Rhinolophus ferrumequinum: one gene and its partner. The protein of the gene in region 1 interacts with the protein of each later gene in a pairwise test. Links are inferred from orthologs where the notes say so. Each region holds a gene or a part of one and is shown in the gene's direction. Other genes may lie near its edges. The genes, in order: ZBTB25 and SEPHS1.

What was found.
Region 2: the proteins of ZBTB25 (region 1) and SEPHS1 interact in binary tests that used the Homo sapiens proteins (3 or more experiments, as listed by UniProt). The two-hybrid records come from large-scale screens. The link is inferred for Rhinolophus ferrumequinum from reciprocal best matches to the Homo sapiens genes ZBTB25 and SEPHS1.

The regions. Positions count from the first base shown.
Region 1 is NC_046289.1:31,369,540-31,381,591, forward strand, and holds the start of ZBTB25 (zinc finger and BTB domain-containing protein 25), read left to right. Parts: upstream 1-7,220; 5' UTR 7,221-7,340; intron 7,341-7,997; exon of another isoform or gene 7,998-8,175; intron 8,176-8,186; exon of another isoform or gene 8,187-8,281; intron 8,282-12,052. UniProt on the Homo sapiens protein: May be involved in transcriptional regulation.
Region 2 is NW_022680355.1:187,516-199,168, reverse strand, and holds the start of SEPHS1 (selenide, water dikinase 1), read left to right. Parts: upstream 1-6,299; 5' UTR 6,300-6,606; intron 6,607-7,179; exon of another isoform or gene 7,180-7,451; intron 7,452-7,495; exon of another isoform or gene 7,496-9,426; intron 9,427-9,432; 5' UTR 9,433-9,509; coding exon 9,510-9,702; intron 9,703-11,653. UniProt on the Homo sapiens protein: Synthesizes selenophosphate from selenide and ATP.

The DNA.
Region 1 (12,052 bases):
GGTCACCTCAGCAAAAATTCTTTCCTAGAATATCATTTTCCAGGGTATACAGTCAAATTTCCAAATTTAAACTTAATTAAATTCTTTGGGATTTCTCCTTGAAATTTCCAGGAAGAACCAGTTGTATACAGACTCCTAAAGATAAAAGGTTTTACCTCAAGGCACTTAAAATGACAGACATGATTAAGTTTAGAAAATTTTATTCACATTTTAGAGCAGGCATTCTGGTTATTAGACTGTATGCTCGATACTCAGTACAGGAAGTTCTGAAATTATAATTAAGTTACATTCTAAAACTTAATTTTTAAGATAATTACTTGGAACTTGAAACGTATAGTCCCATAGAGACAATGCTACAAATGGGGGCTCAGTCCTATGCTCACACTCTAAAATCTTTAAAAACCCTAATGTAGCTGTCTGTTAGTCCTAACAGTATTACTTACATTATTAGCACTAACAGAGGTATTGTACCGCAGTGCCTAAATGAATTCTCAAGGACAGGGACGAGGCTGATGACCTTTGTGTTCCCTGGTTGGCACTGAATGCATGCTTGTTAAATGAAAGTACTAAATAAGAGCCTAGGAAGCAGACACCAATAGATCTGAACACCACTAAACTTCTTTACCTCTGTAAGCCTGCTGCTTTTCTCATCTATAACATACGGATAATCACATTTCTCATAGGATTCTTGTACAAATTAGAGATGACAAATATTTCTTAGTCTTCTCAATCCAAGCACAATACAATTTTTCTTAAATATTAATGTCATCAATATGAACATAATTCATACAATTTTACAAAGTGATCAAGTTCAACCCGCTGCCTTATAGATGAGAAAACAAACTGACGCCCTAGGAGGTTAAGTGATAAGCTCAAGGTCATATCTAATTTTAGAGGCTGACAGGTGGGACCTTGGTCTGGGGCTCTTCCTACTATTCTAACTGCAGCCCCTAAGTACAGCACACCTGGCTGGCTGCTTTCTCCTCTGCATCAATTATGTTTTGCTGAAATGTAAGAGCTGTTCAAATTTCCAAAGGTTGTTTGCACCTACCAAATGGCCTGAGACTGTTATGCTTTTGAAGATTGTGATTTGTTGGTCGGTATTTTTCTGTCTCCTTGCTTGTCAAGCCAACAGCTGTCACTTCTAAAAGGTATGCTAAGCTCCTGCTGCCCACCATTTCAATCTGTTATGGGTTAGGAAGACAAAAACTCATCGAGACAATCTACATAAATAATTTTCTGTGAGGACCTAGGGAAGTGTTCTAGGAGTAAGATAAGATTTTAATTCCTGCACTTGTTTCAATTATTTGAATTGTTGATAAGCAACAAATAGTCTAAGTCTTTTGCTTCAGCAAGGGCACCTGGATAGCTGAGTTTGCCAACCAAATAAACTTCTGAATAAGTGAGGTGTTTCTGTAATTCAGCTGCATTATGGGTCTAGGAAATGAATTTATCCACACAGAAAGCAACAGGAACACAGTGGCTTCTGGAACACTCTTCTCCCTCTAGGAGTAGAGGAGGAAAATTATTTAATCCAACCAGTCTACATTTTGATCTGTTCATCCTAAGGAGGCAACATGACGTTTTCTGACCACCAGAGGGCACAGTGTGAACAGTAGGCTTCTCAGCAAAAAGCAGCTTCATCAGAAAGTCCCTTTTTAAAAAGCACGTGGCATTCATATTCTTAAGAGTTCATTTTGTGGAACTTCTATCTATCCAGAAGTATTCACTCTGTGACTTTGTCTGGGACCCACCTAAAACTGCTCCTCCACCTGTATTGTCTTAGTTGGCACCGCCATGCACCAATCACCCAGGCTACTTGGGAGTCACCTGGGTCTCCCCCCTCATAATTAAGTCTTGCCAATATTTTCACTAAATATTTCTCAAATCTGCCCCTCTATTCCATCCCTACTTCCCCTGCACTCCTGAGGCCTCTATCATCACTCATGAGTTGCTACAAGAGCCTCCTTAACTAGTCCCTCCTTAACAAATCCAGCCTTCACCCTCAGACGACTCATAAAGAACAAAAATCAGACCATATCTGTCTCCTGCTTAAACTCTGCTGTTCCCTTCACATATCCTCAGGCTAAAGTACAAACTCCTTAGCAAGGCATCAAAGGCCTCCTGCCCACCCATCTAGTCTTGTTTGGCTACTTCCTGCTTCAAACTTCATGTTCAAGCAGCATAAAACTGCTTGTACCTCCCCCTCCCCCCCAATCCCTCATTTCTTCATGTATTTTACCTCCATTTTTAGTCATGCTCATTGGTTCTTGTACCTGAACCTCCCACGTATCATTTAATAAGCAGTTTATCACCTCCTCCAAAAAGCCTTCTTGTAACACCTCCCTCTTCCACTATTTTGGGTTTTGATATCACTGTGTATTATCTCCTTATTTTGCACTTATTACACTGTATTTTAATTACCAGAACAGCAACATAAAGTAGGTGTTAAAGCACAAACTGACTACACTGCCTAGGTTCAAATTCTGGCTCTGCCACTTGTTAGGTGCGACCCTGGGTAGGTTGCTTAACCAATTTGTGCCTCAATCCTCTCATCTGAGAATGAGGACTGTAATCCTTCCAAGCATTAAGACTTATTACTGTCATGGAGTAAGTGCTAAGTAAGAATTGGCTACCGTAATTTCCTATGTGTGGGTCTCCCCTCTAGATCATGAGGAACCTGGAGGCAAGGACTTTGGCTTGTTCCTTTCTCTGCAGCGTAGTATGTATTCAGTAAATGTGGCTAAATGAGTAACTGGTGAAGCAGCTCTATGATGGGAGGGACTACCCTGTTCCTTTCTTTCAGCAGATCCACACATTTCTTAATTGTATTGCTTCCAATTTTGTAGCTCTGATTTTTTTTTTATGTTTAATTCTAACTAAAATCCTGAGAACTTCATACTTTTATCTAATTAAAAGTCAATGAAATGAAACCAAGTGTCATAAAAAGCATGTTCATCCTAAGAAGCTTAACTCCATTTCTAAGCCTTAAATCTATTTAAGATTTAAGATTATCCCTCATCCCAAAGCACCTAACACAGCATAAGACTTCATGCCTTCATACATGCTATTACATTTCCTTAGACCCTTTTCAAGGTCCAGCTCACTTTCTTCCGGAAGTTTTTTCTGATCCCAGGGCTAGGCAGTTGACCTTCTTCTGTGCTTCCGAAAGAGCCCGTACCTACAACTATAGGGTGACAAATAATATATCATTCAAACTGGGACACTGGATCTATCACCACACTCCCAGCAGGGATTGTAAGTGCGTTGTCCCCCTGCTTTGCTGTAAGCTGCTAGAGGTCAGAGCACTGTCTTGGTCATCACTGTGTCCCGTGAGCCTCTAACAGTTGCCTGATATTTGGTTGATATCTGATCAGTTTCTGAATGAATAAATGTTGAAGTCGGTTAAGTTTTATTTTGCTTATCAATTTTTTGCATTATTTCAATCACGGCAACTTTTATATAGTGGCCAAAAATTTACAAAGCAATTTCTTATGCATTATACAACTGATTCTCACAATCCTGAGGTAGGTATTTTTATCCTTATTTTGTGAATGAGGATACAGGTTCAGTGGTTGATACATAAGTGCTCATCTTGATTCAGAGCCCTAAGTTTCAGTTTTTATGAACCAGACAACACTCTTTCTGACAATGATGATTTAGTGGTGTCCCTTTGCAACATTCTAAGCCTCCCAGTCACCCCATCCTCATATTGCCTCATATTGCAGGCAGAATGCCGGGCTCCTTCCCCATCTCTTCCATCTGCTGACTCCCACTGCCCATCAGAGCAAGCCCTCCCCTTATACTAAAGATTTCAAGTGGGAATGGAGCTCTTCATCTCAAAAGGATTATGTGTTATCTCACACAGGCAACAAACAGAAAATACGGTTGATTTAACTGTCTTTAATTTTCCAATTTTATTTTGAAAATGACTTTAAACTCAAAGCAGAGTAGTGTAAAAAACATGCATGTCCCCAACATCCGCAAATAACCAATGTTGTGATTACACTTCTTTTGGGGGCTTTGTTTTCAGAACATCATCAACTACTTCACAGCTCACACCAGGCTAATAAGTGATTCTGCACTTTCACTAAGATCTCTTGTAGTTACTACACAAGCCATAATATTACTTAGAAATCTATCTTAATTATGTACCATCTCCTTCCGTGCTACATCTGAAAAACCATAGTCATTCATCCCCTTCTTTCCTCAATGTGTGGCCTGCTACCTCTGGATATTGATTCAGAGGAACCCCTCATCCCACATCAGCACAGAGATATCTTAGCAGTGGTCTTCATGGTAAGTGTACCTTCTCCTTCCCAACTATAAATTATGAAACTCTCTACAAATGTGAGGGTATTGTTTTGTTTTAATGAGTTTGGCCTGTGTAAATCAATCCATGATAAACTGGACATCAACATTAACATTAAAAGTGTGAAAACTAGGACTAGCACACCAAGGCACAGTTAAGTACTTCCTAAAGGAAGGCCTAAAATAGCAGCCCTGTTACATTTAAACTTTCATGTGTTACTTTATCATAGAATTTCAAATCAGCCCAATGCAAAATATTTCCTTTTACTCTACCTGGACAATTTTCACCAACCTGAGTAGTGAACAGAGAACAGGAGTCCCTGAATCATCTGACAGGCCATTCCTAGGCAGGGTGAGGCAGACACAGCAGCACAGTTATGATCAAATGTTGCCTTCTCTCATTTTAAACAAGGAATTTACTGTGAACAGTTATTATTTCTGGGGAGTGGGAGTCAGAATGACTTTCATTTTTATAGTATTTTCTGTACTTCAGTATAGGTTGAATTTTTACAAAGAGCATGGATCTTATAAAGTATTTCCATTTTGAGAAAAAAGACATGACTCACTTTTAATTTGGTTCATGTAAGAATAAATAACAAAGTAATTTGAATATTTTACTGTAAGAGATATTAACACCAGAAGAAAATATCAGGACAAAACATTATGTAGAGACCAAAGTGACCTCTCAAGCAGATGTTTTGCAAACATACCTCATTTTTTTTTTGAAAGACAACAGATTGTAGCTTAAAAATAAAAATCTATGGAAAATTTTCTGCATTTTTATTCCAAATGGTTTCCTCTTCTTTAGGCCAGAAGGTTAATAGCAAATGCTTGACACTCTTCCTGGCTGGAGGAGTGGCCTGAAAGCAGGCACTTTTTTTCTCCTGCATATTAGGACGGAAAATGGTGCTAAGTACAAAAACTTAGCAGTGTTAAACCGAAATCAAAACACAAGGTCAAGAGCAAGTGGCTCAAACTATGTTTATGCCCTGTTAAATATGGTTTCTCTTTTCTTTAACAGTGATGGGCCCTCTCTCCTCCCCAAAACTGGCTACTATGTTGGAATGGGAAGAACAGAAAGGCTTCAGGAAAGACTGCTCAACCTGTTATTCTGTATTTGGTCATAATGGAGAAACCTGCTTTTAAAATGAATATGTTAACTGAAGGCTCTACTGCAGATTGTCTTTATTAATCTTTGGAAAATCATTTCACCTCCATTATACTTCAATTTTCTCTGTTTAAGATGAGGAAGTCCCACCCCCATCTAGCTCCCAAAGCCAGTTATTGAAACTTTATCAGATATATAGCAAATGATTCAAAAGAAAAATTCTGAAGTTCTGATGACCAGTCTTCAGTCAAGCTTCATCTTTTTGTATCCCAATTCTCTCCATCATATCTAATTTGTACTGACAAAGTTTCATAGAATCTCATTTCTCCGTTTCAAAGACGGTGATTGCTTTGAACTTACCATGAGAACTGCATCCGTCACCAAATAAGCTCCAGAATGCCTTGAACTTCAGCTCAAGAAACTATTCCAAGTCTCCTAAAAAAGCCTGGGACCACTCCTTGGGTTCGAGTGTCAAAGAGAAAATTGTTCCTGGAATAGTTTTCCTGCTGTGATACATACTATTTGGAAAACTACTTAGGCTAGTGGAGAATCTGTGCCTACCCACCACGCTGCAGTTCGATTTAGTAATATTATTACATATACAAATGCCCCCACTGTCCCCAGAAAACATCAAGGACTTTCACCAACATCTCCCTGACGCTCCTAATCTGGAAAATGTCATGTCAACCTTTCAGATCATGTAACGCGTTGCTTAGGTAGAATGGGAGGGTGCCTGAGCTCAGACTCAAGCCTACATACTTTAGTGGTAACGACTCCCGATCTAGTACCTCCAACACATTTACGGAACTCTAACAGAACTTCTGGAAAGCGACCACCACTGGAAGCGAAAAGCACTTTCTTCTCAGGAAACAAGATCTTTTCCCCCTGAAAATTCCCAAACCCGAGACCTACCACTTTTAATTGAACAAAAAGCGTGTGTGCCGGCAAGAGGGGGTGGGAAAGGAGCGTGGCAAGAATCTGCAAGGCTCCTACGCCTCCTCTCTCGGAGCGCGCCCAAGTCTGCGGCCTCGGGCTCCGGGACACTTCCCCTCCCACCCGCCGAGGAGCCGCAGCTGTAAGTTGAGAGAAGCGGGCTCTGGGCACGTCAATCAACCGGGTCCTCCCGCCTTCCGTCTACACCTCTCCCTTCCCCCCCTCTCAAAAAAATAAGGGCAGAAAAAGAAAGGGAAAAGACGGTAACTAATGTGGGAACTAGTCTCCGCAGGAGCTTCGCCTCAGACCCAGGGAGGCCGCACGTCCCGGACCTTGTGAGGCGGCGGGCGGCGGGATCGAGCAGGCGGGCCCAGCAGCCGCCCGTCGCCGGGTCCTCGCAGCGCGTCCGCCGCGCTCCGGCTCCCCGCACTGGTCGGCGGCGCTCTGGCCCCGCACTCCGCCAGGCCCGCGCGGCCCGCCGCCCTTCGGCGCGGGCCAAAGTTGCGCAAATAGCCCCACAACTGGCAAATACTCACCGGCCGCAGCAGGAACCAGGGTTGCGGAGATTTTAGGGAGTTTAAGGCAAATCGGACACGGGAAAGGCGGGCGGAGGCGACGGGGCCGCGAACTGCAGTGGAGGCGACGCGCGGCGCACGGGCTGGGCTGCGCGGAGAGGTTCTGGCTCTGTCAGGGACTGTGCTGCAACAAAGGACTTCCGCTGCCGCACAGCCGCGCCTGCCGCACCGCACTGAGCCGGCCCCGCTTACGCGGCGACTCCGGGTCTGCCCACCAGTTCGCTGCGGCGTCCGCCAGCCTTCCCCTCCCTCTCGCCCGCCCACCCACTCCGCCGCTGGCTGCTAGGGGCACCCGCGGTCGCCTGTTTGTTGCAACAAGTTTCTGCGTCGGGCTCCGAGGAGGCTGGCGCAACCCGCACCGCGGGGGCCGGCGCGGCGGCGGCTTGACCACCCCTCTCGCTCCTCTCCCAAGGGTAGGCTTGGGACCTCCTCCTCCTGTTTGCACAGCTGGATGGGACTGGGCTCCTCCCGACTCCCCAAGGGCAGGATGCTGCTTTCCCACTCCGTCCAGATGTCAGACCCCTGCCCGGGAGGACCCAGCAGCTGGGCCCTCCCTCGCGGTACGTCCCCGGCGTTCTGGGGGCGCCGGCACTCTCACCCTGTCCCGTGCGGGGCCAGTCCGTTCAGGGTCGCCCATTCCCCGCGCTCCCCCACCCCGCCTTCCAAGGGCCTGTCGGCCTCCGGCCTTGAGTCACTTCCCCCGCCATGCCCCACCCCACCTAACTAGCCTCCCCTCCCAGGCTCCCGCGGCTCAGCTTCCCTGGCCTTGCGCCCTCACCCCTCTCCCCGTGAACACGCGGCGCATCCTTCCCCACCCCCATCCCCGAACAGAGGAGGTGCCCATGCTTTTGCACACACCAGGGAAAGTCCCCAGGTCACGCGGTTTTGTGTGTGTGTGTGTGTACGTGTGTGGAGCCTGTGACGCTCAGGTTCGTCTCCACGCTTCCGCCTACAGAGTCACGACTGGGAACGGTGGCGGAGGCGCCCCAAGCGCAAACCGACCCCCTCCTAGCCACCAGGGCAGGCGCGCACGTAAGCACGCATGCACGCATACTCCGGCCCCCGCGCCCCTCGTTCAGCGGCTACCAGGCGCGCGGTCACGTGGGCCCACCGCGGGACGGCCGGCGCGGGAAGCCGCGCGAGAGCGGACCGCGGGGTGCGTGAGCCGGCGCCGCCGCGTGACGTTTGCGGCGCGGGAGCCGCCCCTCCCGCACGGAGGAGCCGGCCGGCCGCCGCGGCGGCGTCTGGGTAAGCGACGCGGCCCGGCCCCTGTGGGCTGCTCCAAGCTCAGTCCCTCCCGCCGCGAGCCGCGTGGGGCGGCGGCGGCCTGCAGCTGCGCCGGTCGCGGACAGATGCAAGTAGCTCGGGAGGGGGGTGTTTTTGGTCCATTTGACTTGTCAGTCAGGGCAAGGAGAAAAATGGCAACTGCGAGTGAATGCTGGGTCGAGGATGCCCAGAGCCGCCTTAGGCTGTCTGCATAAGGCGTTTGTCTGGACTTGATGCAGGCGAGTCCGCGCGCGGGGGCGCAGCAAAGGCATAGAGCCCTCCCTGTAGAAAGCCGGTTGCGACCCCGCGCGGGAAGCCCCGACTGGCGTGCGGCGTTCCCCGGGCGGCCGCCCGGATCCCTAGCAAGTGGGCGGGTCTCCAGGTGCAGCCTGCGAGACGTTGCTACCACTGCCCTCCCTCTCCCTCCCCACCTCCCATTTGTGATTACTTTGTTGCTAGAGCAGGAAATATCCCGCCCATCCCATAATTCATTTATTTCTTTTTTCAGATTAATTTCATTCTAAGCATATCCAGTTTTTGTTTTTAAAGCTTGCGCCATCTATCACTGCCTTCCCTAGCACTCATTTAGAGAAATCAAGCTGTTCTCTAGCTGCTTAGGCAGCGCCTAGCTCTGTACCTGGAACTTGGCAGCCCCTAACATGTTTCATAAATGAACGCCCGGTTCACCGCAAGGGATTAAATTTGGCATTCATTGTCTTGAGAATAAAGTCTTTTGGGCAAAGCTGTTCATTCCCACAAGGTTTTGTGAAGTGTGTAAAGTACACTTTGTAATCATAGATTTTTAAAGCTGAAAGGGGCCTTATAGAAAATCCAGTTCATCCCTCTTATTTTACACGTGAGGACACCCAGCCTAAAGATCATGTAGCTGATGGAGGTCCTGCACCTCTTGAGTAATTGGACTCCAGGGCTCCAGATGCCTTGGTCGTTTTATTCTAGCACACCAGGAGTGCAGTGCCAGTTTAACCCACTCATTGTAGACTGTCCCCCAGAGGTGATTTTACTTGGCTTGGTCCAGATTGTTGAGAAATCAGACTTGGCCAGTGTGTGATGGCTCTGGTATTTTAAGAAATGGGGTTGGCACTATTTCTAGGTGGAATAGACTGCCTCTGATGTACTTTGGAGCTCAACCCTCCTCCCCCTCCGATTCAGCCTATTCTCTGCAAGAATAACCAATATTTGCAGCATTGGTTGCTTCCTTAGGTTAAGGCATCAAAGTCCTCATTAGCAATCTGGATATGTTTTAATTAACAGTAAATTATTAGTCCATTATCACAAAGACATCAGCTCTTTACTAGGGAACAGAGCAATGATGGGATAGGACACGGAGTTGATTAGTACTGCTGGCCAGGAGGTTATCAGGAAGCAGTGGAACATCACTGGGTGGTCAGCAAGAAAGGAGGGAGGGACTTCACGTGACTAGCTACACCTTTTTGTCCAGTCCTGCCCTGAATGTCTTATTTGGAGGTAGTGGAGATGGATTCTGCTCAGGTTTGGTCACTGTTTTATTAAGTACCTGCAGTGGCTAGCCATTTTCATAGAGGAGTGTTGAATATTTACCAAAAAGGATGTAGTATTGTCTCTGTTATTACACACAAGGAAACAGGCTCAGAGATTTAGTTGGCTTCAATAATGCAGTCGTTTGCAGTAGAATTCAGCCTAGACCACTTACCGTGTTTCCCCCAAAATAAGACCTAGCTGGACAGTCAGCTCTAATGCATCGTTTGTAGCAAAAATTAATATAAGACCCAGTCTTATTTTACTGTAATATAAGACTGGGTCTGTATAATATAATATGAGAGCAGGTCTTATATTAATTTTTACTCCAAAAGACGCATCAGAGCTGATTGTCCGGCTAGGTCTTATTTTCAGGGAAACGGTATCTCCCAAGTCCAGTCTGGCTCTTTTGCACTATATCTCACCACCACTTCAAGCCAGGAAGGGGATGAGAGAATCGCCTGTGGCTGATTTATTGGCGCCTGTGGTTGCCCAGAGAAGCTGAGCAGGACTTTCAGCTGCCCTCTATGCCTTAGAAAGTGGAGCTGTGTGCTTCCACCCTATCTCCTGAGGGGAATGGGAAGGAGTCAGGCTGTCTAGCTGAGGAGGAGGGGCCCAAGTGCCTTGGCCATAAAATATCCTGGTGAGGGCTGTGCTGGGAAGTGTTGCATAATGCCCTCCTCACCACTGAACCAAAGTGATTTATTTACTATGGTCCAAAGATGGTGCTTGACCATCTTGTTAAAGAAAAACTTGTCCATTTTAGTAATGACGGCCAGAAAAGAGTTGGGGATTTTATATTATTGCAGTATTTTTTTCTTGTTTTAAAAAAAGCAGTACCGGTGCTCTTATCTTGATAAATTATAAAGTACTTCTATACCACTTCCTGTGCCCCCTTTCTGCTTATTTATTCCAAATTGCATGTGAACTTCAGTCTTGTCAGAGAAGAATGCTAAGAAAAATACTGTTCTAGTTTAGCGTTACCAGCATAAGCTATGGAGGCAGACCTAGCTTTTGACCACCACTTTATACCATTTGTAGTTTACTAATTGCTAGGTTTTTCCTCATCTGTAAAATGGAAATAAAAAGAACAAATGTAGTCACCGTGAGGATGAAAAGAAATAATGTACATAAAGCACTTAAGTAGCACAAGGCCTTGCATATAGTATTTACTCATTATAATAGCAGCTATCAATAATATCTGGAACAGTATTATTCCCTCTAGGATAGGAAAGATTGCTACTTGAGCTTGCTTGTGGAAAGTGGAGAAGGAAGAAACAAAGTGTTTGAAGTAAACATCAGTTTCAGGATTATTAATTGAATTTAACACTTCTGCTTTCCCTTTGCCAGCAGGATTTTCTTTCTCTTTTAATCTTATCTGGAGAAAAGGTGTTTATAGTGTTGTTAATTATTTTTGAAATTTTTCTAATTTCTTCCCTGGTTATAAATCAATAGACAATGACTTTTTGTTCCTTCTGAAAAACTCTAGACACTTTAAGCAAAGGGTTTCATTAGCTCATGTGGATAATGTGTTGTGGAATGTTCCATGCAAAGGAAATATTGGATCACCTGTATTCATTCTTATACGATCATTCTTGTTTGTACTGTATTCTAGGTCTGTGCTAGTATTGTTGTTTTCCATCTTTCTCCTCCTTTTAGTACCTATTCTTTCAGAAATGCAATCTTTATTTTTTTAGTAGACTAAGAAGAATTTTTTTCCTTTCCTTCACAGGGTTCTGATTTTTTAAGGTCCACCAGCAATTTGTACTCACCAGTGTTAGCATTCTTGTTTGCCTGGTACTGTGGCTTTATCAGGCATCCCACATGTTGGTTAGATGAGGGTTAGAGATGCAGCAGGCTGGCTATATCTGCCAACAGGCAGGAGGCCCCAAACTGACGTTTCCCTGTTCCGTTAAAGGTTTCTAGAGCATAACTGCTCTTCCTGTATCATCTACCACATCTACTTCTTACCCTCTTCTCTAATATTCTCAGTGATTTTCATAAGCAGATGCCTAGAATTACTGCAGATTTTATTTACCTCAACCAGTATTTTCAGATTTGGAATTTCCGTGTCATTTTCAGATATTGTGAAAATAGGTGTAATGGAGTATGAGAATAAATACCTCTTTTTTCTAAATACTTTTTAAAAAGTATGAAAATGGTGTGTTCCTTCTGTGCCCCCAGTGCAAATTCTACTAGCTTGGGAGCACTTTTGTTTCTTAATCTGACTAATTTTTTAGTTTAAAGTTACAATTAGAATTGTTGATTTTTGTTCTTTTAATGTAATTGGTATAATTTCCACATTTTGAGAACTTCTTGTGAAATTGCTTCTTTTTCTCTGATT
Region 2 (11,653 bases), on another chromosome or scaffold:
CAGCGATTTTACGTGCTGTTATTACTGAACATGTGGCCACGGTCTCCCCACCCCCACACGCAGAGCTTCCAGTCTTGTGAGGAAAGCAGAAACAAAACCACCACAATATAAGCCCCCAACTGAACACTTAACCACCAAAGCATCCAAACTTACCCCCTCCTCCCCCCCTTTAGGATCTTCTCCAATCAGAGACCGCTCCTCATTCTCACATCTTTAGTTTCTTCTGCTCTGATGGCTTACATACCTGCTCAAAGCTTTGCAGGTTCTAAAAATCCAACCCCTCCTCTTCTCCCTCAAGGAAATGTCCTGTCTTCTCCTCCTATAATACGCTTCTTAAAGGAAGTGTCTACACTCAGATCTCCACAACTTCAATTCCTACTCGCTCCTCAGCCCATTACTCCCTGTCTTCCTCCCCCCCCCTTGGCCCCAGCATGTGAGTGTCCCCACCAAGGCTACCAGGGACCTTTTCAGTCCAATCTGTTTTCAGTACTTGTTTCACCTTGCTTTTCTGTAGCACTTGACAATGTTGACTCTTCCTACCTTCTTGAAATTCTGTGTCCCCCAATTCCAGAATAGCCCTCTCCTGCCATTCCTACCACAGACCAGGGAATGCACTAAGCACTGGGAGGCAAAGCTACCTAAGACAGTCTCTACAAGGAGCTCATGGCTTTGGTGGGGCAGGCGAGAAGAGAAGTGGAGGAGCGACTAGGTGTACGGGATAACTGCAAATCAGCAGGATAGGTTCCACGGTGAGGACCAAAATGGGTTGGCAGGGCTGCGTTCCTTCTGCAGGTTCTAGGGGAGAGAATCCATTTCCTTGCCTTTTCCAGCTTCTAAAAGCTGTCCACGTTCTTTGGCTCATGGCCCCTGATCACTGACTCCTGCTTCCTTTGTCACATCGCTTCAGACTTGCCTCCCTTTTTGAATTCTAAGGATCCTGGTGATTACATCGGTCCACACCCCGTTATCCAGGACAATCTCCCCATTGAAACATCCTTAACTTAATCACGTCAGCAAAGTCCCTTTTGCCACGTAAGGTGACACTTTCACAGGTGGCGAGGATGTGGATGTATGCCTACCACACACGGGTGATTGTTCCTCTCGGAAAAGCCAGAGAACTCTGGAGAGAAGGCTCTTGGAATGGAATCTCACCGGCTTACTTATCATTTACCAGAAGTGGGGACGAGGTGATATAACGCTTCTGAGATGCTAAGTGGAGAAAGACAAGGTGAGCCTGCAGATCTATAAGCGGCTCAGGGTGGCTGTAAAATAGGATGAGGGCACCTTCTGGAGATTAGGGAGGAAAAGCAGAAGCTGGATCATGAAGGTTTTTTTTTTTTTGTTTTTTAAAACCACAATAAGGAGACTGAAATTTATGTACTTGACCAATGCTCTTACTTAGCCTGTGCTACTGTTTCCTTAAAATTTTCTTTGCGACAACACACTTTTTGTCCTAAAGAATAATGTCCACGAAATCACAGGTTTTACATGTTAGGTATTCTTTCCAATGTGTGCTGAAATGAACACACAACTGCAAAACTAAAAAAGTTCTTCCACGTACCCCCTAAAGGCATCTGTGCACACCTGTGAGTGAGTACGAGACTTAGAGAAACGGAGCCAGAGGTAATGGGAGCCCCACAAAGGCTGTATGTGGGAAAACAACATGGCCAGGTTTGCCTTTGATAAATATCATTCTGGCAGCAAGTGAGTATCACAATAAAAAGACCACAAATAGGATGCTTCCACTAGAGTCGAGATGAGTGATGAGAAAAATGAACCAAGACAGGAAGAGTGGCAGTGGAGGGGAGGGTCTGGGTATGAAGACCATGCAGGAGGGTAGATGTGATAATAGTTAAGACTGGAAAAAGAGAGGAGCTGGGGATAAGTGCCAGGTTCCAGCATGTGCCATGCAGCAGAGAACTGTCTGTGGGCCAAGAAATGAGGAATACATGGGGGGCTGGGTGGGGTTGGAAGAAAGATGATTATTTTGGTCTGGAATATGCTGAATTTGAAGTGTTTGTGGAACACTCAGGTAAGGGCTTGAATACCTGAGCCTGGGGCTTGGAGCGTCCTCTGGAGCAGTGTTGTCATGTAGAAATATACTCTGAGCCACCTAAGTCATTTTAAATGTTCCAGTGGCCACGGTAAGAAAAGCAAAAAGACACAGATGAAATTAATGATGTATTTTAAATAACCCAACATATCCAAAATATTATATTTCAAGATGAATCAATAGAAAAATTATTGCGATGTTTTACTTTCTTTTCCTTTTTCCTTTTCTTCTTCATCGTTGCCTTCATCTTCATCTTCTTCGTCTTCTTTGTCTTCATCTTCAAAATCCAGTGCATTTTTCCCACTGAGAGCACATGTCAGTTCAGAGCTTCTGGGCACTCGATAGCCACCTGTGGGGAGTGGCTACCATACTTACTGGACAGCAGGGCTCTAGAAGCCCCGTGTGACGTACAACACAGGATGAACATGAGGAGAAAGGCCAAGACAAACCTGATGAACATCAGTGATGGCGCAGGTGAGCAAAGGATAGTGAAGGAGGACGCATCAAAGGAAGTAGCCAAAGAAGTTAGCGGGAGAACGAGGGAAGAGCTAACATCAAGCCCAAAGAATTTCAAAAAGAAGGACTACTTTCATGGCCTCGTGTGCTGCAGGGAGGGCCCCTGGGGCAGGCAGTTGGGCTCCAGACTTAGCCCCATGTTAGATTCTGGCTTGACTGCCTCCAGCTGGGCACTGTGGCAGAGGCTGTTGACACCATGGAGGCCTGGCCCACCTCTGTGTCCACCTGAAGCTTCTGGGACAGTTTCTAGCCCACCTCAATCACCAGCATGCCCGGTCCTCAGGGCTGCTTCTGTAACCAGGAAGTCTGAGTCTCCCCTGGTCCAGTGAAAGGGACGGGGAGGGGCTCATCCCTTAGCCATGAAGGATGAAAATCAGTAGATAAACACCTTCGTGTCCCTGCCTGCCAATGCTACTATTTTAAGGGGGTATGTTCATTTTCTATTGCCGCTGTGACAAATTACCACAAACTAGTTTGAAACAACACACATTTATGATCTGACAGGTCTTTGGATCAGCTAAGATCAAGGTAGCAACAGAGTGCATTCCTTTCTGAAGGCTCTACAGGAAAATCTGTTGTTTCCTTACTTTTTCCAGCTTCCAGAAAGCTCCTGGACTCCTTGATTTGTGGCCCCTTCCTCCATCTTCATAGCCAACAAGGGCTGAACCTTTCTCATGCTGCCATCTCTCTGGTTCTGTTTGGATTCCACCTTCCACTATTGAGGACCTTTGCGATTCAATTGGGCCCATCCAGATAATCCAGGACAAGCTCCTTAAATTAAATGATTGGCAAACTTAGTTCCATCTGCAACCTGAATTCCTCTTTACCTTGTAACATAACATGTTCACAGGTTCCAGGCACTGGGATATAGACGTCTTGTGGGGAGGTGGGGGGTCGTGGCATTATTCTGCCTACAGAGTGGGTTCTGTACAGCATCTCAGAAAGGCACCAACTGGGGTGCATCCTGCTGCCCATGCTGGAAACCCACTCATTTACATTTTTTTTTTTTTTGCTTTCCCTTCCCTGTGTCATTTTGCCCACTTCCTGACTTGTACTTCCTGAGACCACCTCACAAATAAACTCCTTTCCCCCAAATCCTCATCTCAAGATCTGCCATGCAGGGACCCAAACTAAGACAGTGACCTTGGGTAAGTTAGTCAATTGGTCGGAGCCCTGGTTCCCTCCAGCATGAAAGGAAACATCCATAATCGCACCTACCTCCTGAGGCTGCTGGGAGATTTCTAAGATGATGTTCAGAAAACACTCTGTAAGTGGCGTGTGTAGTAAGTCCTCAAGAATAGTTCGCTGTTGTGGGCAGGGTGGCAACTGGAGTGCAGCAGGTGCTAGCCTTGTCCTCTCTCTGTGACTCTGGACCTGACCGTCAGAGAGGGTGGGGTGGCACAGGGTGGGACAGCTGGAAGGTTTTCTCTGAGGGCACCCGTTTTTTTTCTTGAGGTGTATCTGCTACTGAGGTCAATAAAGTGTGATGTAGACGCTGTAGAGAATAACGAACATTAGGAATACATACTTTAGGATTTTGGAGCTGCCAGAAAAGCCCAGTTGATATGAAGGCCGGTGGATGGGGGGGAGGACAGAGAGAAGCCTGCAGTTAGGTCAAAGGAAGGCAGGAAAGATCTGGTGGATTATCCGACCCCACGGTTGTAGAGACTGGCTCCAGGTGAATTGAGGTGTCCGTGGCTTAGTCTACAGCCTCTGCTCAGGAGAATTTGACTCACGTGTTTCGGAGCTGCTGGCTCCAACCACGTGAGCTGGCTGAGCCGGTTCTGAGATGGCTAGCCTCTAGCAGACTCGGCAGGGATCAGCCTCCTGCTCGTCCAGTCATTCCATTAGGGAGCACCGCGGGGATCTGTCCAAGGTCTCACACTTTTTCCCCCGGAACTTTCCCTCCTGGTTAATCTCACATTTGTCCGAGGCTTCAAACTCCATTTGCATGCTGATGGACCCACATTTGCATCTCAAACACAGAGCCCACCCCCACTCCAAGAACCAAACCTGGTTTTACCAATTGCCTCCAGCCCAGCCTATCTGACAGGCATCTGAAATTTAACATTTCAAAAGCTGAACTCACCCCAAAACGTGTGACTTCCAATAGTTCCTATTTCAATTGGTAGCATCACTACCCACACAGTCCCCCAAAACTTTATATCTGGGGGTCATCTTCTGCTTCTTTCTCCAACCACACACTAAATCCTCTCCCTCGTCTGCATTCCTGTTGCTTCAGTTCAAAAATTCTCGACTCTATGCTTGACTAATACAATTATCTTCTCACTAGACATGTGGCCCAGCCTTTTTACAAACTAAACTTGTAAAAAACAAATCTGATTGACTCTGCTGACCGGCATAAATACCCAAATCCTCAGCACGACACACACGTCTTCACATAGGGCCCTACTCAGCTCTCGTGTCACCTTCCCTCATTCCCAAACTTTTTCCTAGTCGTGACGTTTTTGTGAAAATCCAAACAAAACCAAAACACCACAAAACCAATATAAAAAGGGAGCGGGGTGAGGAGAATAAAGGTATCTGTATCTTCCTGCCCTGATACCGGAGGTCGGAAATGTTGCCTGGAGATTGCATGTATCTGAGCCTTCCCGGGTGATTCAGAGGCAAATCTAGGTTTGTCAACCACAGGGTTATGCCATTCGTACAAATATCCATCAAATCACATCAAAGAATCCAGGCTACTACGTTCATTTTTAACTTACTGTAGGGGTACAGAGAAAGGACACAAAAGAGAGAAGGAGCCTGCATCAGCCAGGTTTTCCAGGTTGCAACAATTCTGCATCTTCGCCTAGATGAAACCGCTGGGCGTTTCAAGCACAAATTTTAAGAATGAAAAGTGCATCTGCGTCGCCTGCAAACCTGACGCTCAACATAAAGCACCTTACGGCTACCCAAAACACCCCTGCCCCAAAATGCATTCGGAGAGTCCTGAACCGCTCTAGAAGTTTGGTCCTCCACACTCCTCGGTTTTAAGGGAAGGCCTAAGGGATGTGGTCTGAAACCACTATGCTTTTTTTTTTTTTTTAAAGCAGTGCATTAGAAAGTTGAAAACCTGAAAAACGTTAACTTTGCAAACTGAAGCTCTGCTATCACTTGCTAATTCAAACACAGACAGTATGAGGCTGCCATGTTTACTTGGACGTGTGAAGAGCGAACAATGTAACTGAGGAACATTAAACCCTGACTTCCTACCAAGCATATTATAAACGCTCAAGAAACATTGCAGGATGCTTGCATGTTCACGAAGGCTCATGTTAACTCCTGAGCCAGACTAAACAATAGAAGGGGAGAGGCGATGAAGTCATTATTCATAAAACGCGCCGTTTGTCATTTTAAATCTTTCATGTTAGTTGTGGTATCTTTTGCCCTGCTCCCACTTTTTCAAGTTGTTTCCATGGTCATTGTCTTCCAATACGACACGACAGGCGCGCGCGGGGAGCCGGTCCAGCATCCCGCAGAGCGTAGCGCGGCTGAGCCCGGCCGGGTTTTGGAAAACATTCCGGGCCCTTCCAGCCGGTCGAGGAAAAGTAGGTGGCCCGGGCGCCAAAGGCTGCTGCCAGTGCAGCTCGCAACTTTTGAAATCAATCCTTTTTGCATCATGCAACGGATGCCACCGCTGCACGGCTTTGCAACCCCCCACCCCTCCCCCGAGACCAATCATTGCCGCGCTCCGGCCTGCACAGCGCCCCCGCCCCCTTCCCGGGCCGCACACAGCCACCGAGCCGCTCCGGCCGCGGCCCGCCGCCTCTTAAAGGGAGGTGGCCGGCCCTTAAAGGCCCCTCGCCGCGGCGCACGGCGAAGCGCGGCGGCCCGCTTCCCCGCAGGGGCCCGCCGAGCCGGGCCGAGCCCCCGCGGCGCCCAGCGCGGCCCGGGCCCTCCCGCCCTCCGCGCCGCCGCCGCCGGGAGCGGCATTTTTATTCAGGCGACGCTTAAGGGAGCCCGGCGCGCCCGGTGCATTGTGGGAGCGGCGGCGGCCCGTTTTCGGGAGGAGGCGGAGGGCGCAAAGCGAACCGGTAAGCGCCCGGCTCGGGGAGGGGGGGCGCGACACCAGGCTTAAAGGGGAATATTCGTCCGCAGGCCCCGAGCGGCCGTGCAGATCCCCCTCCGGGCCGCCCGGGCCGCCGGGAGCTGTGCACGGCCGGCGCGCGCCAGCGCTGCCTGCAGAGGGGCCGAGCCAGGGCTTGGTGGGGCCGCTTTAAAAAAGAAGCACCGCCCGCGCCGCCGCCGCCGCCGCCGCGCGGGGCCGGGGAAGGAGGGAGGGAGAGAGGGCGGGGGAGGAGTGGAGGGGGAGGGCGGCGGCGGCGACGCAGGGGTTAATTTTTTCGCCCGCCGACATTTTTGTGCGGCTGCGGCCCGCGCGCGCGGCGGGAGAACCCAGGCGGGTCTCCCTGGCGCGGCGCCGGCGGGCCCTCCCCGCCCCCCGCGCGCGCCCTCCGGCCCGCGGTCGCCGCCGGAACCTGGGGGCACGGGCCCGGCCGGCCTCCGGGCCGGGTTCTCGTTGCGCTCGCGCTCGCCCCGCCGCGGCCGGTGGGCCGTGCGCGCCTGGCTCCTTCCCCGCCGCGTGGGCCGCGCGCGGTTCCCGCCGTCGCCGCTGCGGGGAGGACCGGCGGGCGGGCATGGCCCAGCCAGCGGCGCCGCGCTGCCTCCCCCGGCCGCGGCCAGCCCGCCGCGCTGCACAAAGAACCCAGGCTCGATTGGCCTGTGAAGGCGGCAGCCTGAGATTTAAGGTGTCCCCGAGTTCCGTGCCCCGCGCTCCGGCGGCCTCGACGTGTGCTTCATGGCAGGCGCCTGGCCGCTGCACCCACATCGCCGTGTCCCCCCCATTGTTGATGTCCTGGGCTTAGGGGCTAGGGGATAGGTAGGTATCGGGCCGCGGCTGCACCCTCTCCCACCCCCACTTACCGTGCTGCACCAGCCGTGCGGCCCGCTTTGCCATCTCGTCTAAAAATTTAAACGTGCCGGAGAAGGAAAGGGTTAACCGTTGTCTTTAAATATTCATGTCATTGTTTTAAAGGTGTAAACAGGCGGCTTTTGGGCTGTAGTTAACTGCCTTTTATTATGCACAAATACACGTTTATTTTCGCCCCCATTAATTGCTCATATTCCCAAGCACCCCCCCACCCCCGTCCTCATCTCCTCCCCAAAATGTAGGGATTTATTTTTCTTAATGGTCGGATATGAGTGTGTGATTCGTGTCCCTCGTTCCATTTGGAAAAAACTCCTGAGTGTTTTCTGGACTCTGCTGTTTTAAACTTTTTTCCCCTTAGAAATCCGGGAAGATATAAAGGATCTTTAAAAGGAAGTTGGTCCCCCCTATTCCAAATTCCTATCCCTGCTTTTTTTTTTTTTTTTTGGATAGGGATTGGAGGTAGGGAAATAACTGGATACCTCCTAAGTTGGATTTTTTTTCCCCCTGGTAGAAGTGAGGCGGTGCTAAATGTGAGGCGTTTTGAGAGGAAAGGACTGTTGTATTTTGTTTCAAACCCTTCCAAGTCAAAGCTGTTGGACTTTTCCTAACTCTAAAATGGCTTCAAAATTCCCGTCTTGGTTACTTGCTGGCTTTGCTCTCCTGCGGCCCTCTTAGGACAGGTTGTTTTCTTGGAATATTGGAAAGTTTACTCCTGCACAGTTGTAGCTTTCAAACCAAAATCATCGCTCACCCCAAACATGTTTTTGTAAGGATGGTTTGGATTACTGCCCAAAGTCCAGCTTTGTGAGATTTTTTTTTTTTTTTTTTAATGAGTGATGTCCTTCCCAGGAGATTGAGAACTCTATAAATGGGAATTATGTTCTTGATCATACATTTTATAAGGGAAACCGACCCTACAACTTGGGGTGTGTATAATTCAGTGCCAACCTGGAGGTTTGTAAACCCTTGGAGCACATACTGAGTTTTTGGTGTAGCCCCAAAAGTTTCAAATTCAGGAGTACTTGTTTCAGAAAGTTCCAGTGGTACCAAGTACCATAAATGCTAGTCATTTAGTACAGCTTAATTTATCATTTTAGTTCTGCAGTGAAATGGTAATGAGCAGTAGCATATTTTGTGAATGATGTGTGTGTACGAGTTTGTTGGGCGGGATGTTTGCTTTCTAGGAACTAGCACTGCATTAAAACAGCGGAGAACTTTTCCATCACTCTCTTGAATAACATGAACCTGGCTGTGTTACACAGCCATTCCAGTTTTCAAGTTCTTTTCTTTAGTAAGACTTCCTATTATGGGTCATGTTGTGTACTTCTGGCTCAGAGTAAAAACATATTTTCCTAAAATTGAATTTAGCATCATGAAGAATTTCATCAAATGCATTTCCATCAACATCCTTTTTCCACAAAGTATCCAGCAGGCATTTTATTTTTCTATGCGAGAGCGCAAAAGATATCAGAAAAGTTTTCTAGAAAAGTCACGTGAGCCAGAACGTTTAATTTCTAAATCATAGTGCTTCTGAGTTGACAGATGAAATGACTGGATGTTTTTTCCATAATGCTGCCCACTAGAATACCCTTTGGGACTTACTGTTCAAGATGGCACTGTATCCGCTGGCCCATAGTTCCGTCTTCAGAGGAGATCTTCCTTGCTGCCCCTCGGAGCCACAATTATAACACAGACATCAGATCTTCTGTAGAAAATGTCTGTGATGGCATAGTCACTTTTTAAAAATAACTTACTCTGGTGTATGCATCACTGGGACGGACTCCTGTGGCCCCAAATCACTGTCTCCCAGTGGTCTTGTTGATTTCAGCCCTTTTCACATTTACTTTCCATTTTCAGGTATTCATTTGATTCTTGGCAGGTACTGGTGAGAATTCTTCTAATGGTGTTTTTGTGTTTTGGTGATACCCAGGTGAATCTGTAAAGAAACCAGCTGACTAAGAGAGGGAGGGAGGAACCCAGCTGTGAGGTGTGTGTGCCCCGAGAACCATGTCTACACGGGAGTCCTTTAACCCGGAAAGTTATGAATTGGACAAGAGCTTCCGGCTAACCAGATTCACTGAACTGAAGGGCACTGGCTGCAAAGTGCCCCAAGATGTCCTGCAGAAATTGCTGGAATCCTTACAAGAGAACCACTTCCAAGAAGATGAGCAATTTCTGGGAGCAGTTATGCCAAGGCTTGGTATGTGAACCATTGTTTCTCTTACACTTCCCTGAGTAAAAGCATCTTGGCTGCAGTGTAGTCAATGAGTCAAAAACCTGATTTCTCTCCTCCCTGTTGCCTTTAAAAAAAAAAATTCTGTAAGAAGGAGTCAAAGAACAAAGCAATGGTAACTGTGACATTATTGTAACTATGTTATAGTATTGTAACTTATTTGGAGGAAGTACTTGAGATCAAGAAATGTGCTCAAACCATTTTTGTACTATTAAGTACAGGATTCAGACAATTATAGTAAAAGCATTTTTTATTAAATTGTATTTTCTGGTTAGCTAAGAATTAAGAAGAAACTCCTTTATGCCTTTATCTTAAAATTTTCCTTAAAATGCTTGCATTCTCTTCGTTGCCTTAGGAAAGGCGGTGCTTAAGCATCATTGTTCAGTGCATTGACAGCAGTGATTGGTTTGTGGGGGGGGGGGTGATTTGGGGTCCCAAGCTCCTGTGGTGAGGAGGGAGAAGAAAACTGCTTCAGACACAGAAGGGGAGAAGACTGAACTGAATCTGTACTTGACCCCAGGACGTCATCTGGAATTGAATTCCTGATGTCATTAGTAGTTTGCCTTTTCCCAAATATAGGATTTAGAAAGACATTCTAAGCTGTTGGGATATTGTGTGATTTCTTAAGTATGTGATGCAAGACTGTGATCACTTTGCTTTTTGAATGTTTGGCATGTGTTCTAGGAATCTGGATGTTTTATAGTCACAGTATGGCTGGATCAGCTTTCTTATGTAAGGTTTCTGTTTCATTTATTTTCACCCGTTATTTTCTTGTAAAGTTCTCTCTTACAACATTGGTTGTGAACCCAGGGTACTCCTTTCTTCACTTATGTATAAAGCAGGTAAAAGCTGAGTTGCTTTGTTTGGGAAAGAGGAAAGTTTGTCATCAGGATTCTAAGTGCAAACGTGTTCAAAGTGGGGAGAAGAGCTGCATCAGCTCTAACTCTTAGCCGTGGCAAAAAGGGACAGAAGTCGACAGCAAGAGTAGAGGCAGGAAACAGCGGATATAAGAACACAGAGGAAAATAAATCTGGTCACATATGGCTTTTGAGAAGTAAATGAAAGCTGTTGCCCTTTCCCAGAAAAATCCACAAAATTTTGCATTCAGGCATTCTCTGGGGGTAGCGATGGACCCCGGGTTACAAGCAAAAGGATGCGGACGGAAGCATAGTATTAAAGCCATGTACAGAAGTGGTGTACACACTAATGTTACTCTGTACATCTTCTGAACCCTCCTGAGCCTGTTTCCTGATCTGTACAATGGGACAATAATACTTCGTAAACTGCTATACCAGAAATTATCTAAGTATGTATATGCACCATGTGTATATGTACCCACATACATAATACATGTGTGTATGTATGTTTGTCTATACAGGTATTACACACAAATGTACTTACGTGTTTTTAAATTTTTTTCTAAGGGTCACATTTCCTGGATTCTAAGATGGTATTAATTGAAGAATGAATCATACGGTTGTTAATATACACATGCTTATTAAATGTATTCTAACTGAAGGAATGTTAACACCTGAAACTGGAAAAAAAAAAAAAGGAATGTTAAAATAAGTGTGCCTTAGAACCTGGTACGCCTATGGCCTGCTACTTCAGGGGTATCAAGTACTGGTCGTTGCTGGCAGTGGTGGTGGTATGAAGATTGGGGTTTTCTGGGTGGATGGTTTCAGTATTTCTGGAAACCTAGAATTCCCCATCGCCCCCTGGTAATTGAGCATGCATTGCTCAGACTGGTACTCGAAGCTTCTGCCACGCTGGCGCTTCCCTTTTTTTCCACTTGCCCTCCACCTGGATTGTCCCTCTTTCAACTTGACACCCAGCTTTTTTCAGGCCCATGGCCCATCTCAGACTCACCCTCTTTCTCTTCCTCCTTTGAAATTTAGAAGTGATTTGTAAACCAATC